2 linked regions of the Caenorhabditis elegans genome follow. The protein of the gene in region 1 interacts with the protein of each later gene in a pairwise test. Each region holds a gene or a part of one and is shown on either strand. Other genes may lie near its edges.

Evidence for each region.
Region 2: the proteins of unc-45 (region 1) and hum-2 interact in a two-hybrid assay, tested with the Caenorhabditis elegans proteins (one study listed by BioGRID).

Annotation. Positions count from the first base shown.
Region 1 is NC_003281.10:489,089-495,045, forward strand, and holds the start of unc-45 (UNC-45/Cro1/She4 central domain-containing protein), read left to right. Parts: upstream 1-2,458; 5' UTR 2,459-2,460; coding exon 2,461-2,549; intron 2,550-2,600; coding exon 2,601-2,728; intron 2,729-2,774; coding exon 2,775-2,901; intron 2,902-3,318; exon of another isoform or gene 3,319-3,747; intron 3,748-4,480; coding exon 4,481-4,559; intron 4,560-4,628; coding exon 4,629-4,757; intron 4,758-5,266; coding exon 5,267-5,907; intron 5,908-5,957. Other genes in the region: F30H5.5 (Salivary lipocalin), read left to right, coding at 144-364.
Region 2 is NC_003283.11:9,383,536-9,389,530, reverse strand, and holds the start of hum-2 (Myosin motor domain-containing protein), read right to left. Parts: upstream 3,357-5,995; 5' UTR 3,302-3,356; coding exon 3,245-3,301; intron 3,148-3,244; coding exon 3,034-3,147; intron 2,985-3,033; coding exon 2,467-2,984; intron 2,419-2,466; exon of another isoform or gene 2,417-2,418; coding exon 490-2,416; intron 441-489; coding exon 291-440; intron 244-290; coding exon 154-243; intron 1-153.

The DNA.
Region 1 (5,957 bases):
GTGTGGTATGTGTGTGTACAGTGTAGTAACTTCATACATGAGTGTACTGTAGGAGTACAAAAGAAATTACGAATACTGAAGTGCTTACTGTAGAAAACCTACCGTTCTGAAAAATTATAAATCAGCCAGATCCAAAATTCCAGATCCAAAAATCAATATCAACACTGTGATGCTGGTATGGGGCAGCTATGACAGTATCGTACCACTTTACGCGGAATTCTTCAACGGACGTAACCCACCGTACTCCCAATTTATTGACACTAAGATTTTGATGAAGAAACCCGAACGAACAATGGATTTGTATGTGACTTTGAGAAAAAGTAGCGAAAGTTCCACCGGATGGACTGCGTTTAATTTCACATAATTTTTATTTTTTTGAATAATTATTTTTCGGGGAACTTGGTTTTGAATAAATTTTTAACAAATTGAACGTGGCTGCAAAACCTTGTAAGATATGAATTCTCATTAGCTGAGAAATTAAAATCACAGGCTTTCGAGAAAAAATTGGCGGGAAATTCGAATTTCTATTTAAAAAGTTTACAATATGCTAAAAATCTAGACAAACTTTAACTTTTCATATAAATTTGGCGGGAAACTCGAATTTAAATTTTTTTTTTTCAAAATATTTAAACAATTTTTTTTTTCTATTTAGAAGTTCAAATATGAGTTATTTGAAATTTCTTTTTTCTAAAAATTTTGCACGAAATTCAAATTCATGGAGTTCGCTCTGGTTCAGTGGCTGGTCTTCTAATGAATTATGTTTGTTTTTTCGAACATCGAAAGGAAATAAGCGGGACTCATTTCATTGCTTCCTCCTTCATTGCTTCCTCCTTTTCTCCCTTTCGAATTGTACTACGAGACCCCCTTTGTGCATTATTATTTTACCCCCATTTTCCACCCCAAGACAGTCTCAAGTTATAGGAAATCTTCACATGATTTGCTCACAGTGCATGCACACAAAAAGTTATAAGATCTGAAGAGAGACGCAGACAGATTATTCAAACAGCAAGGGCTCCCACCACCGGAGAGGATCTGCGGATTCCGCCGTAATTTTACACTATCCGTCGGGGGCCGGACACTACTACACTGCCCTTTCCGCTGAACAGACGTTTCTATTCGTTTTTCATCGATTTTTGCATAAAGTTCGGGTTTAGTGGGTTTAGTAAACCTAAGAATTTCTAGGTTTTTTATGAATTTTAGGTCCTTTTTTTGAATTTATATAATTTATTTTAATGTAAATACTATGAAATTTTTATTTTGATTTTTTCCGAAAAAAAAATATCAAAAATTCCAGAAATATTTCAGCCGACCCATAGCCGCCGGGTATAGCACTAGAGCCTCACGGCAGTACATATTTATTTAGAAACTCTAGTATTCCACGTGAAAAAATATATTTAAATATACCAGAAATTTTGAAGGAGTTGACGACTACAGTACTCCTTAAAGGCACACGTTTTTCTGATTTCAAGAAAATTTATCGGTTCGTGCCGTAGTTTTTGAGAAATCCGAGTGCCGTAGTTTTTGAGAAAAAATTTTCCTTGTGGTTGCCCATATAATTATTTTCATGACGAAAATCTGAAACGATGTTTTATGGGTCTGCTAAATATTTATCATACCCAACTTTGGTCTGCTAAATATTTAGCATACCCAACTTTGGTCTGCTAAATATTTAGCATACCCAACTTTGGTCTGCTAAATATTTAGCAGACCCATTTGGGATATTGAGTTTATCCTGAAATGATGATTTCCTTTGTTTAAATCCACTCAAATTCCGTTTTTTCTCTGAAATCCTCTAATCCCCTGAAAAAAACCTAAAAATATATTTTTTTTACTATATAAATTCGGATTTTTCCAGAAACCCCACATATTTTCGACTTTTCCCGAACTTTTCCCACTCGTTATCTCTATTTCTCTTCTATTCCCTAGGATATCTCTCCCGCCTGGGAGCTTTTCGAAAGCTCCAGAGCACCTGGGCGGAGCTCCCGCGGCAACTGGATTTTTTACCGTTATTCTTCATTCATTTTTCCAGGACATTAACAAATTTTCTTGCAGTGAAAATTTTTATTTCAAAAAAAAAGAAAAGAAAGTCAATTTTAGGATGTTATACATCTCCAAAATTCGTTAGTTTTAGCTTTAAAATCAAAGTTTTCATAAAAATTAAATTTGAAATCCCTCCAAAAAATAGTCTGCGCTTCACACTCTCTAACACGTGCCGGTGGAGCGCGCTTGCATTTTTCCTTTTTTGTTAATTTTTTTTTGCGGGAAACTTTTCGGGAAAATTACTCTAAAACTCAATAAAAACAGCTTTTAAGTGCATTTTTCTTGAAAATTAGTTTCAAAAATGATATTTTAATCAGTTTTACACCATTTTTGTCGATTTTTCCTCTTTTATCCGTCGAATTAATAGTATCTCCTGACAAAAATAATGATTTTATAGTTTTTTTTTTTTGGTTTTCAGCAATGGTTGCTCGAGTACAGACTGCGGAGGAGATCCGCGACGAGGGAAATGCTGCAGTTAAGGATCAGGATTATATAAAAGCTGATGAATTGTTGGTTTTTCTGAAATTTCAGTGGAAAACTGAAATTAAACTGATTTCCAGATACACTGAAGCTCTCCAACTCACCACTGACGAAGACAAGGCTCTTCGGCCGGTTTTGTACAGAAATCGAGCAATGGCTCGGCTGAAAAGAGACGATTTTGAAGGAGCACAATCGGATTGCACGAAAGGTTTACAAAAAACCTGGAAAATTTGCTGAAAAACCTAAATTTACAGCTCTGGAATTCGACGGGGCCGATGTAAAAGCTCTCTTCAGACGATCGCTGGCTCGTGAACAGCTTGGAAATGTTGGGCCAGCTTTTCAAGACGCAAAAGAGGCTCTGAGGCTCTCGCCAAATGATAAGTGCGTGGAAAAACTAGGCGAAAACCGATGAAAATTAAAAGAAAAATAATTTTTTCTGGCACTTTCCAGTTATATTTCAAAGTTTTTATGACCAAATTTCAGTGAAAAATGCAAAAGTTGCAAATTTTGGGTCTGCTAAATATTTAGCAGACCCAACCTCCCGAAACTGATTTTTAAAGCTAAAAATTATTAGAATTTTCAGACGTTTCTCTCCGAAATATAGCATGCCAATAGAAAAATTGACAAAAATCAAGGTTTTCTCATCGAAAATAGCAAAATAACTTTTAAAAATCTACAGAAACTCACAATTTTTGTTTAAAATGCCAACATTTATAAATTTTCTAAATATTTAGTTTTAAATTTGTAATTTTCTCACTTTTTTCTGTGAAAAAATATGCAAAATGAAACTGAAAAATCCACTAAAACATGTTTAAAAATTTATCTTGAAGAAAAACGTAGGAAATTTCAAATTTGCAGCTAAAAAATCAGCGAAAAAATTTTTTTTTCAAAATTTGAGGAGGTTGGGTATGCTAAATATTTAGCAGACCCAAGGAAAAATATTTAGCAGACCAAAGATAGGTATGCTAAATACTTAGCAGACCAAAGATAGGTATGCTAAATATTTAGCAGACCAAAGAAGGGTATGCTAAATATTTAGCAGACCCAAGGTGGGTATGCTAAATATTTAGCAGACCCAAGGAAAAATATTTAGCAGACCAAAGATAGGTATGCTAAATATTTAGCAGACCAAAGATGGATATGCTAAATATTTAGCAGACCAAAGATGGGTATGCTAAATAATTAGCAGACCAAAGATGGGTATGCTAAATAATTAGCAGACCCAAAGAAAAATATTTAGCAGACCAAAGTTGGGTATGCTAAATAATTAGCAGACCAAAGTTGGGTATGCTAAATATTTAGCAGACCAAAGTTGGGTATGCTAAATATTTAGCAGACCAAAGATGGGTATGCTAAATAATTAGCAGACCAAAGTTGGGTATGCTAAATATTTAGCAGACCCAAGGAAAAATATTTAGCAGACCAAAGATGGGTATGCTAAATATTTAGCAGACCCAAGGAAAAATATTTAGCAGACCAAAGATAGGTATGCTAAACATTTAGCAGACCCAAGGAAAAATATTTAGCAGACCAAAGATAGGTATGCTAAATATTTAGCAGACCAAAGATGGATATGCTAAATATTTAGCAGACCAAAGATGGGTATGCTAAATAATTAGCAGACCCAAAGAAAAATATTTAGCAGACCAAAGATAGGTATGCTAAATATTTAGCAGACCAAAGATGGATATGCTAAATATTTAGCAGACCAAAGATGGGTATGCTAAATAATTAGCAGACCAAAGTTGGGTATGCTAAATATTTAGCAGACCCAAAGAAAAATATTTAGCAGACCAAAGATAGGTATGCTAAATATTTAGCAGACCAAAGATGGGTATGCTAAATATTTAGCAGACCAAAGTTGGGTATGCTAAATATTTAGCAGACCCAAGATTTTCTCACAATTCCACTTTTAAGCACTTAAAAATTCAATAATTTCACTCAAATTTCTATTTTTCAGAGGAATTGTTGAAGTTCTTCAGCGTCTCGTAAAAGCCAACAATGATAAGATTAAGCAGACCACTTCACTGGCTAATAAGGTTGGTTTTGTGACCTGAAACCACGAATTTTAAATGAATTTTCATTGAAAAACCCCGAAATTTTCTCAGGTAACTGACATGGAAAAGCTAGCGTTCCGTGGTGAGGCGAAGGACACCGAACAGAAAATGACTGCGTTGAACAACTTGTTGGTTTTGTGCAGAGAATCTGAATCCGGAGCAACAGGAGTTTGGAATCAGGTATAGTTTTGGAAGCTGGACGAAAAATCTACATTTACTGGGAAAATTTAATGGAACTTAAAAAAAAATTTAAAAAATGGAAATAAATTGAAAAATATACCGTATATTTGAAAAAAAAATGCAAAAAAAAACTGAATTTTCTAGATTTTCAGAGCAATTTTCAGATTGTTTTTCGAAAAATTTTGCAGTTTTTATCTAAATTTTTCCGATATTCCTTAAATTTAATTGTCGAAAGTTCAATTTTAATTTTTTTAAAGAAATTTTTTTAAACTGAAAATTGTAATTTTTTGTAGATTTTTAAAATTTATTTTGCTACAACGAGAAAACCTTAATTTTTGCCAATTTTCCGATTTTGTAGAAACATTTGAAAATTCAACTTTTTAGCTTTTAAAAAATCAGTTTAAAAAAAATTATTTTTCAAAATTTTAATTTTATCAAAGTATCCCGAATTTGAATATTTTCCTGCAAAAATACCCAAAAAAAAAATTCTAATTTTTCCATATTTCCAGGGCGCACTTGTTCCATTCGTCCTGAACCTAATCAACGACGCATCGGAAAACGAGGAGGTTACCGTAACCGCAATCCGAATTCTCGACGAGACCATCAAAAATAGCGTCAGATGCATGAAATTCCTAGCTATGCACGACCCAGATGGCCCAAAATCCGTCCGTTTTGTGTGCCGGCTAATGTGCAAAAAATCCACAAAAGACTTTGTGGATGCCACTGGAATTCTGGTGCAACGTGTCTTCAATGCAATGGCTAAAATGGATCGGCAAAAGGAGATGAAGCCGGATCCAGAGGTGGCAGAAGCCAATAAAATCTGGATAATTCGTGTGCTCTTGGAGCTTCAAGAGATGCTTCAGGACCCGAAAGTTGGTGCAGTTCAGCGTGAGACGTGCATCGATTTATTCCTGAAAAATCTGATGCACATGGACGGTGGAATTCCACGTGGATGGTCGTGGAAGTTTGTGGAAGAACGTGGATTGCTCGCGTTGCTTGACGTGGCAAGTCAGATACCCGAACTGTGTGAATATCCGGTTTCTGCGGAGACTCGGCAACACGTGGCAATTTGTTTGCAGAGATTAGAGGAGGATATGGTTTTTGATACGAAACGGACTATTTTTAAGGAGAAAGTCGATATGTTCTTTAAGTACGGAACAAGGAAATCGGAAAAAAAACGTTTTTTGATTCGAAAAACTT
Region 2 (5,995 bases), on another chromosome or scaffold:
TTTTTGATTGAGATGAAAGAGCAAAAATTTCATGTTTGCACATTGTCTCCGACTACAAAAAAAAATGCGCATTTTTGCATAAGCTGATTGTGATTGCAAACAATGAATTACTAAGTGCTTTTTCTCATAATCTACTCTTAAACTTCAACTTACTGCAATATCCAATCGCATTTGCAGCTCGATGATTTTGTTCTCCAAACCAGTGTTTAACTTCTGAAGATGTCCAACTGAACGTGCTTCTATCTGAAACAGAAAAATTAATATTAGAATAAGTAAGAAGTCAAACTCACCTTAAGCTCCCGGAGACGACGTTTGGCAAGCCATTTACGGACAGCGCACTGAACCATGACCACCTTTTTCCTGTTAGCGATTTGCTCACGTCTCGCCAAATATCCACGCCAAGCTGCTTGAATTGTGATTGCAGATTTCTCATAGCGAAGCTGGAATATTAAAAACAATTAATAAAAAACTTTCAACAAATTATCATACCTTTTCCACATATCTTCTGACGCGATTCGCCTTAAACATTGCCTGGATCCCAATGATTGAATCGCGAATTTGTTCATACTTCCGTCGCTCCAAATATCCACGAACAGCAGATTGCATGACTATCACAGCACGATGCATTTGGAGATACTTGATTCTTCGGAATGCGAGGAATGCTTTCAACGATGCCTGGACGATGAGCAAAGATCTTCTCATCGTTTCGTATTTTCTCCTGGCCAAAAATCCTTTCCACATCTTCTGAATCACAGTTGCAGCAGCTGCAAGCGTATCGAGCCGAACTCTTTCCAGAACGGCAACTTGTCCAGTACGTAAGAAGATTTTCGTTTTTCCAACTGCATATTTGCCTTCTTCCAAGCATTGTTGGCATGCTAATTCCGCAAACTGTTTAGGTTTGTCTCTCCACAGGGCAGCTTCCTTCGTGTAAATTACACGGTATCGACGAGCAAACTCCTCATACGGATAACGAGATGGGAAACCAGCAGCAGAAATTCGAACAGTCTCAAGAACTCCACACGCACGAAGTTGTTGTATCGCACGTTTTGGCTCGAAATCGAAACTGATTTTGCTGTCATTTGGCTTGATGCATCGGACGTAATGTGGACGCGTCGAACAAAGTACAGACATGAGCTCTTTGAGTGAATCACGAAATTGGCTGGCCACAGTCTTCTTTATCGTACGTTTTCCGGGTGTCGATGAAGATGATGATGAAGAGACGGAGGTTGGTGCAGTTGATCCGATGACTGTGCGAATGAATGGAAATTTACTGGCAACGACAACATCAAGAAGTTGCTCTCCAATCGCATCCCTGTTCTTCTCCACAAATCCATCCGTACTGTATGTGACGTCAGCAGCGAAATGACGAACAATAAAATCGTTGCTCCGAACTTTTGGAAATGCGAGCTGTGGATTTCTCTTCAGCTCCGTGCTATTCTGCAATTGACTCAACCAGTCAGCATCAGATCCATTCAGACGTTTGCATTGCTCGTCGAGAAGATTGATCATTCCGACAGGACCTTCGATAAGATCAATAGCGGGCTGATTGTCATGGAAATCAACACGAACCCATTCAATTTCCTCACGAATATATTCTTCTTGCTCCAACTTGAAGACATGCTGATTAAATTGTTGTTGTAGTTTTTCGTTTGCATAATTGATGGAGAATTGCTCGAAGGAGTTCACATCGAATGTCTCGAATCCATAGATATCAAGGACGCCAATGAAACGATCTGGCCGCTTCTTTTGATTTGTTCCGTCCAGCTTATCCTTCTCGTTCAAAGCTTCATTGATTTTGTCGACGAGCCATCCGAATAAATGGGAATACAGCATTTTCGTGAGAGCATCTCTCGAACGAACAGCTTCATTTTTGGTCAACGGCTTCGTCACGATCTCATTCACAGCTCGAATCTCTCGCCTTGTCAGCCAAATTCTCAGATCGGATTCACTGATTTTCCAAAACTCCCGGCAAAGTCGTGAAATCTCCTGACAACTGCTAGCAGATACAGCGGACGAGCCCTCGCCGTTTTCGAAATGCACGTTTCCGAGAAGCAATAATCCAGCGAGAAGGCGGAATACATCGGACATCTGCTTTTCGTCGAATCCAAGCAACTGAAGCGCTTTCAGCAAAGCCTCGAAATCAGCTTTATCATCAACTCCGGGAATACGACTGTCTCCTCCTTGAGTGAGATACGAATACGATTCGCAAGGTCCCAAGTGAAGATCTTTGAGAACTTGATGATTCCGAGCGGCACATAACTGATAGAAGATGTGATAATTGCGCTCTCCAGGTGCTTGGAATACTAGACGACTTTTCTCGAGCAGATATGTCTTCATTTCGGCTCCGACAATCCTTCGTCCTCGTTCACAGAAGTTAATCTGTATGAACTTCCCAAATCGAGACGAATTATCGTTTCTGAAAATAAAAACAGTTGACAAATTAAGATTAATTTCAAATAAACCAACCTAATCGTTTTGGCATTTCCAATCGACTCCATAATCGGATTGCTCGCCAACACACGTGCTTCAATGCTGGTGGTCCCGCCATTTCTGGTCTTGCTGGCTGCAACAGATGCCAAATAGCGCATGACAAATTTCGCAGATACGGTTTTTCCAGCTCCAGACTCGCCACTCACAATAATAGATTGTGATTTTCCGAAAGCTCCCATGTCGAAGTGGGCCTCTTCTGCTACAGCGAAAATGTGAGGATCCATCTCACGAGCTGATTTTCCAGCTCCTCGATACACTTGGATAATTTCTTCTCCATAAATGTGCGAGCAATCGGCGTAAGGGTTGATTGCTACAAGCACAATTCCACAATATGTGTAGATCGATGATCCTTTCACAAATCGAACTTGTAGATTGTGAAGAACTGCCGGCTCGTGAAGATAGGAAAGAAGTGTGAGATCATCCTTGCCAACAAGAAATGCAGGATTCCTGAGGAATGGCAACTGGTCCAATGACTTGATGGCGTACTCGACTTCCTGAAACGAATAAGTTTTTGAAAACGATTAATGCGATAAACTCTCTCACCGTATCATCTTCGAGCCTTATCCGAACATTCCGTGTTTGGAATGTGATGTCCTCTTCCAAAGTAGCTCCAATCCATACAAGGGTTGGGTGGCGGTGCCAAATACGAACTCCCTTCTGAAAATTTCCAAAATTATTTGAATAACAAAGTTGAGCAACAAAAAACTATTAAAACTGAAATGGCATCTAATAGTAGGATTTAAATAATTCTCACCTTGAAGTTTTGCAGCGGGAACAACTGGCCCCTGCCAAGAGTGGCGCCTCCGTCCATATTGGATGCTCCCAATCTTTTTTCGATTCGGTGAACAGGCTCGGTGAATCTGAAATATTTTGGAATAATTGAACATAAGTCACGAGTTAAAGAAAGTTAAGAAGAGAACGAAGAGAAACGATAGGTTGGTGAAATGTTGAGTTGAGACAGGAAAAAACGTGAAATATTTACATGAACATATCACTGTGTATTTGCCCTTCCTTCTCCCATTCTACGATATTGTCCGGTTATCAGGTTCGGAAACGCAAAAATAAACATTTCGGCAATGAAACACTTTTTCCCGTACTGGACGTGAAGACAGCGAAGATCTACGGTTTTGCATGGTGCCTCATAAAAATTTATTATCCCCGGTGGTGCCGAAATATACATTCCTCAATATCCATCTCTCGCGCCACTCAACATTTATGAAAAACAAAGTGAGGAGGTGTAGGATTAAGTGGAAAGAAAAGATAGATTTGAATTGGCGCCTCTTGCAAGCATGTGCAACTTGCCAAGGACACTTATCGGCCGGTGTTCCTCTCCGCTAAGAGACTGAGAAGAAGCTTGTTCTATTCAATTCGTTACTATTCATCAAGGGCAGTCTCATTTGGAAACTTGTGATTTATCACATTTTGGGACTACTTTTTTGTGTCACAATGAAATAGGGAATAATACTGGTTTCGACGTTGTTTTTTTTATAGCTACTTTTTGTTTATGACAACAAAATAATAATTTACTCTCTCCTATGAACTTGCTGATAATCAAAAAATGTATAATCGTTATGGGTTGTAATGAAAAATTAATTTCGTGTTCACTATTTTTAGGAGAAAATGTATGTAAATCGGGAGTAACGAAAGAAGCGTTGCTTCGGTGACAAAAGACAGCCGGCTGCCATTTCAAATTTCAAACCAGCGCCTTGCGGCAATTTTATCGCCAGAGCAAATCTGCATACGTTGCGAAGGTGTGAAGGTGTCAACAGAGAAAAGGAAGAGCGGAGAAATAGAGAAAGTGATTAAAATACGAAGAAATTCTTATCGGCAATAAGTAGCTGCTAATAATCCTGTATTTACCACTTGTTTCGATAATAAAATAATAGAGAAAAAGGAGAAAATAAGCTAAATTCCACACTTTCTTATTCGGAAACAGGAAGACATGGATAGAAACCAAAATCGTGATGTGGGAAAAAAGAACGACAACATTAGTTTTCAATTCTGGGTACAAGCCGACAAAATCCGAAAAGTAGAAAGCGAAACGAGGAAAGAAGCGATTTCAATTCAAAAGCGAAAATTGGGACGGTCTACTACTAAAAACGCTGCTGATGGAGGTAGATTAAAACGAACATTTGCCTAATCGCTACAGAGTCTCTCCACTTTCAGTGCTTCCGACAAGTGATGACGAGCTGTTGACGGCCATCATAAAATTGCGCCGAAAATGAAAAAAATCTGCCTGAAGAAGTAAAAGAATGTGAGGAAACAGTTGTTTCCACATATAGTAAGAGCGCAAAGCAGAGGAAGTGATTAGTTTTGAAAACAGGAGATAACACGAAAAATGAAGCTACTTCGAATAATTCTCAAAAGAAAAAAACGGGTATTTTACAAAATCGAATTCCAAAAATTTGAACAAAAACTAATTCCAAATGAGTTTTTTAAAAAGTCACTTTCTAGAAGTTATTTCGAAAATTAAAGGGACATCGAGCTTTTCGCGCGCGCGGGTCTCGAAGCGATGAACAATTTACTGTAAAAAATCTATGTCGGCCTAGAATTTATCAGTGAACAATGTTTTATTTTTCTATTGTGGCTTAAAAAGTGCCAAAATGAATTAATAAAAATAACACAAATAAAAATATTTATATTTGTGATATCAATTTTCATATGGGCATTAAAAAAAGAAGATTGGCAAGCTATTAAAGACAAATCAGTTCTGGAAAAACGATCAAGTGATCAGAAACTGACCAGAAATGATGATCAATCACTTTCATCACAGTGCGGACGCACAGTCAATGGCAAAATAAACACGGATGACAAGCGCACTAGTGTTTTTATCCGAATAAGTGATGTTGGCGCATTTTCCAGAACGAACAGTTTTTGATAGAAGAAACAAAGAAAATAAGAAGCGATAAAAGTTCTAAATCGAGGTTACATGCGTTGATATATTCACTTGCGCCTATAAAAAAGAATTCGGGGCTAATTGTGATTTTATTGATGGACAAAGTTAAGCATTGGACAATATTAAAAGTTTTCGATCGCAAAAAACTATCGAAGCGAAAATAGAATTATAGGAAGAGCGCAAAACGGTTTTAAAATAGAAAAACGACGAGGTCGGCCAGAAAACTAAAACCGGAGGCGGCGGGTGGAAGATCAAAAAAGAATGCGCCTCGTGGAGTCAATTGCGAACACAAAAAATTCAGCAGAGCCTCTCTGGAAATAGTTCAAAATCTGAAGAGACTGAGATGCGTTCGGAGTGAACGGAGAGGGATGAGCTTATGTTTGTGTACCGAATAAGGAAAACGCTCAGAAAGGGTTGGAGAAGGCACCGGTGTTTGCCGCGAGCCGGTATTCTCGCTGGTTTGTATGCGCGCTCTCTGAAGAATATGAATGAATGACAATGTGTCTGCGTGTCTATGACTTTGATACTCTCTCTCTCTCCTCGTTTGCTAGGAAACTGTGCAGTTTGGGAACACAATAAAGAGCTGTAGAAGATGGTAAGAGCCGGTCT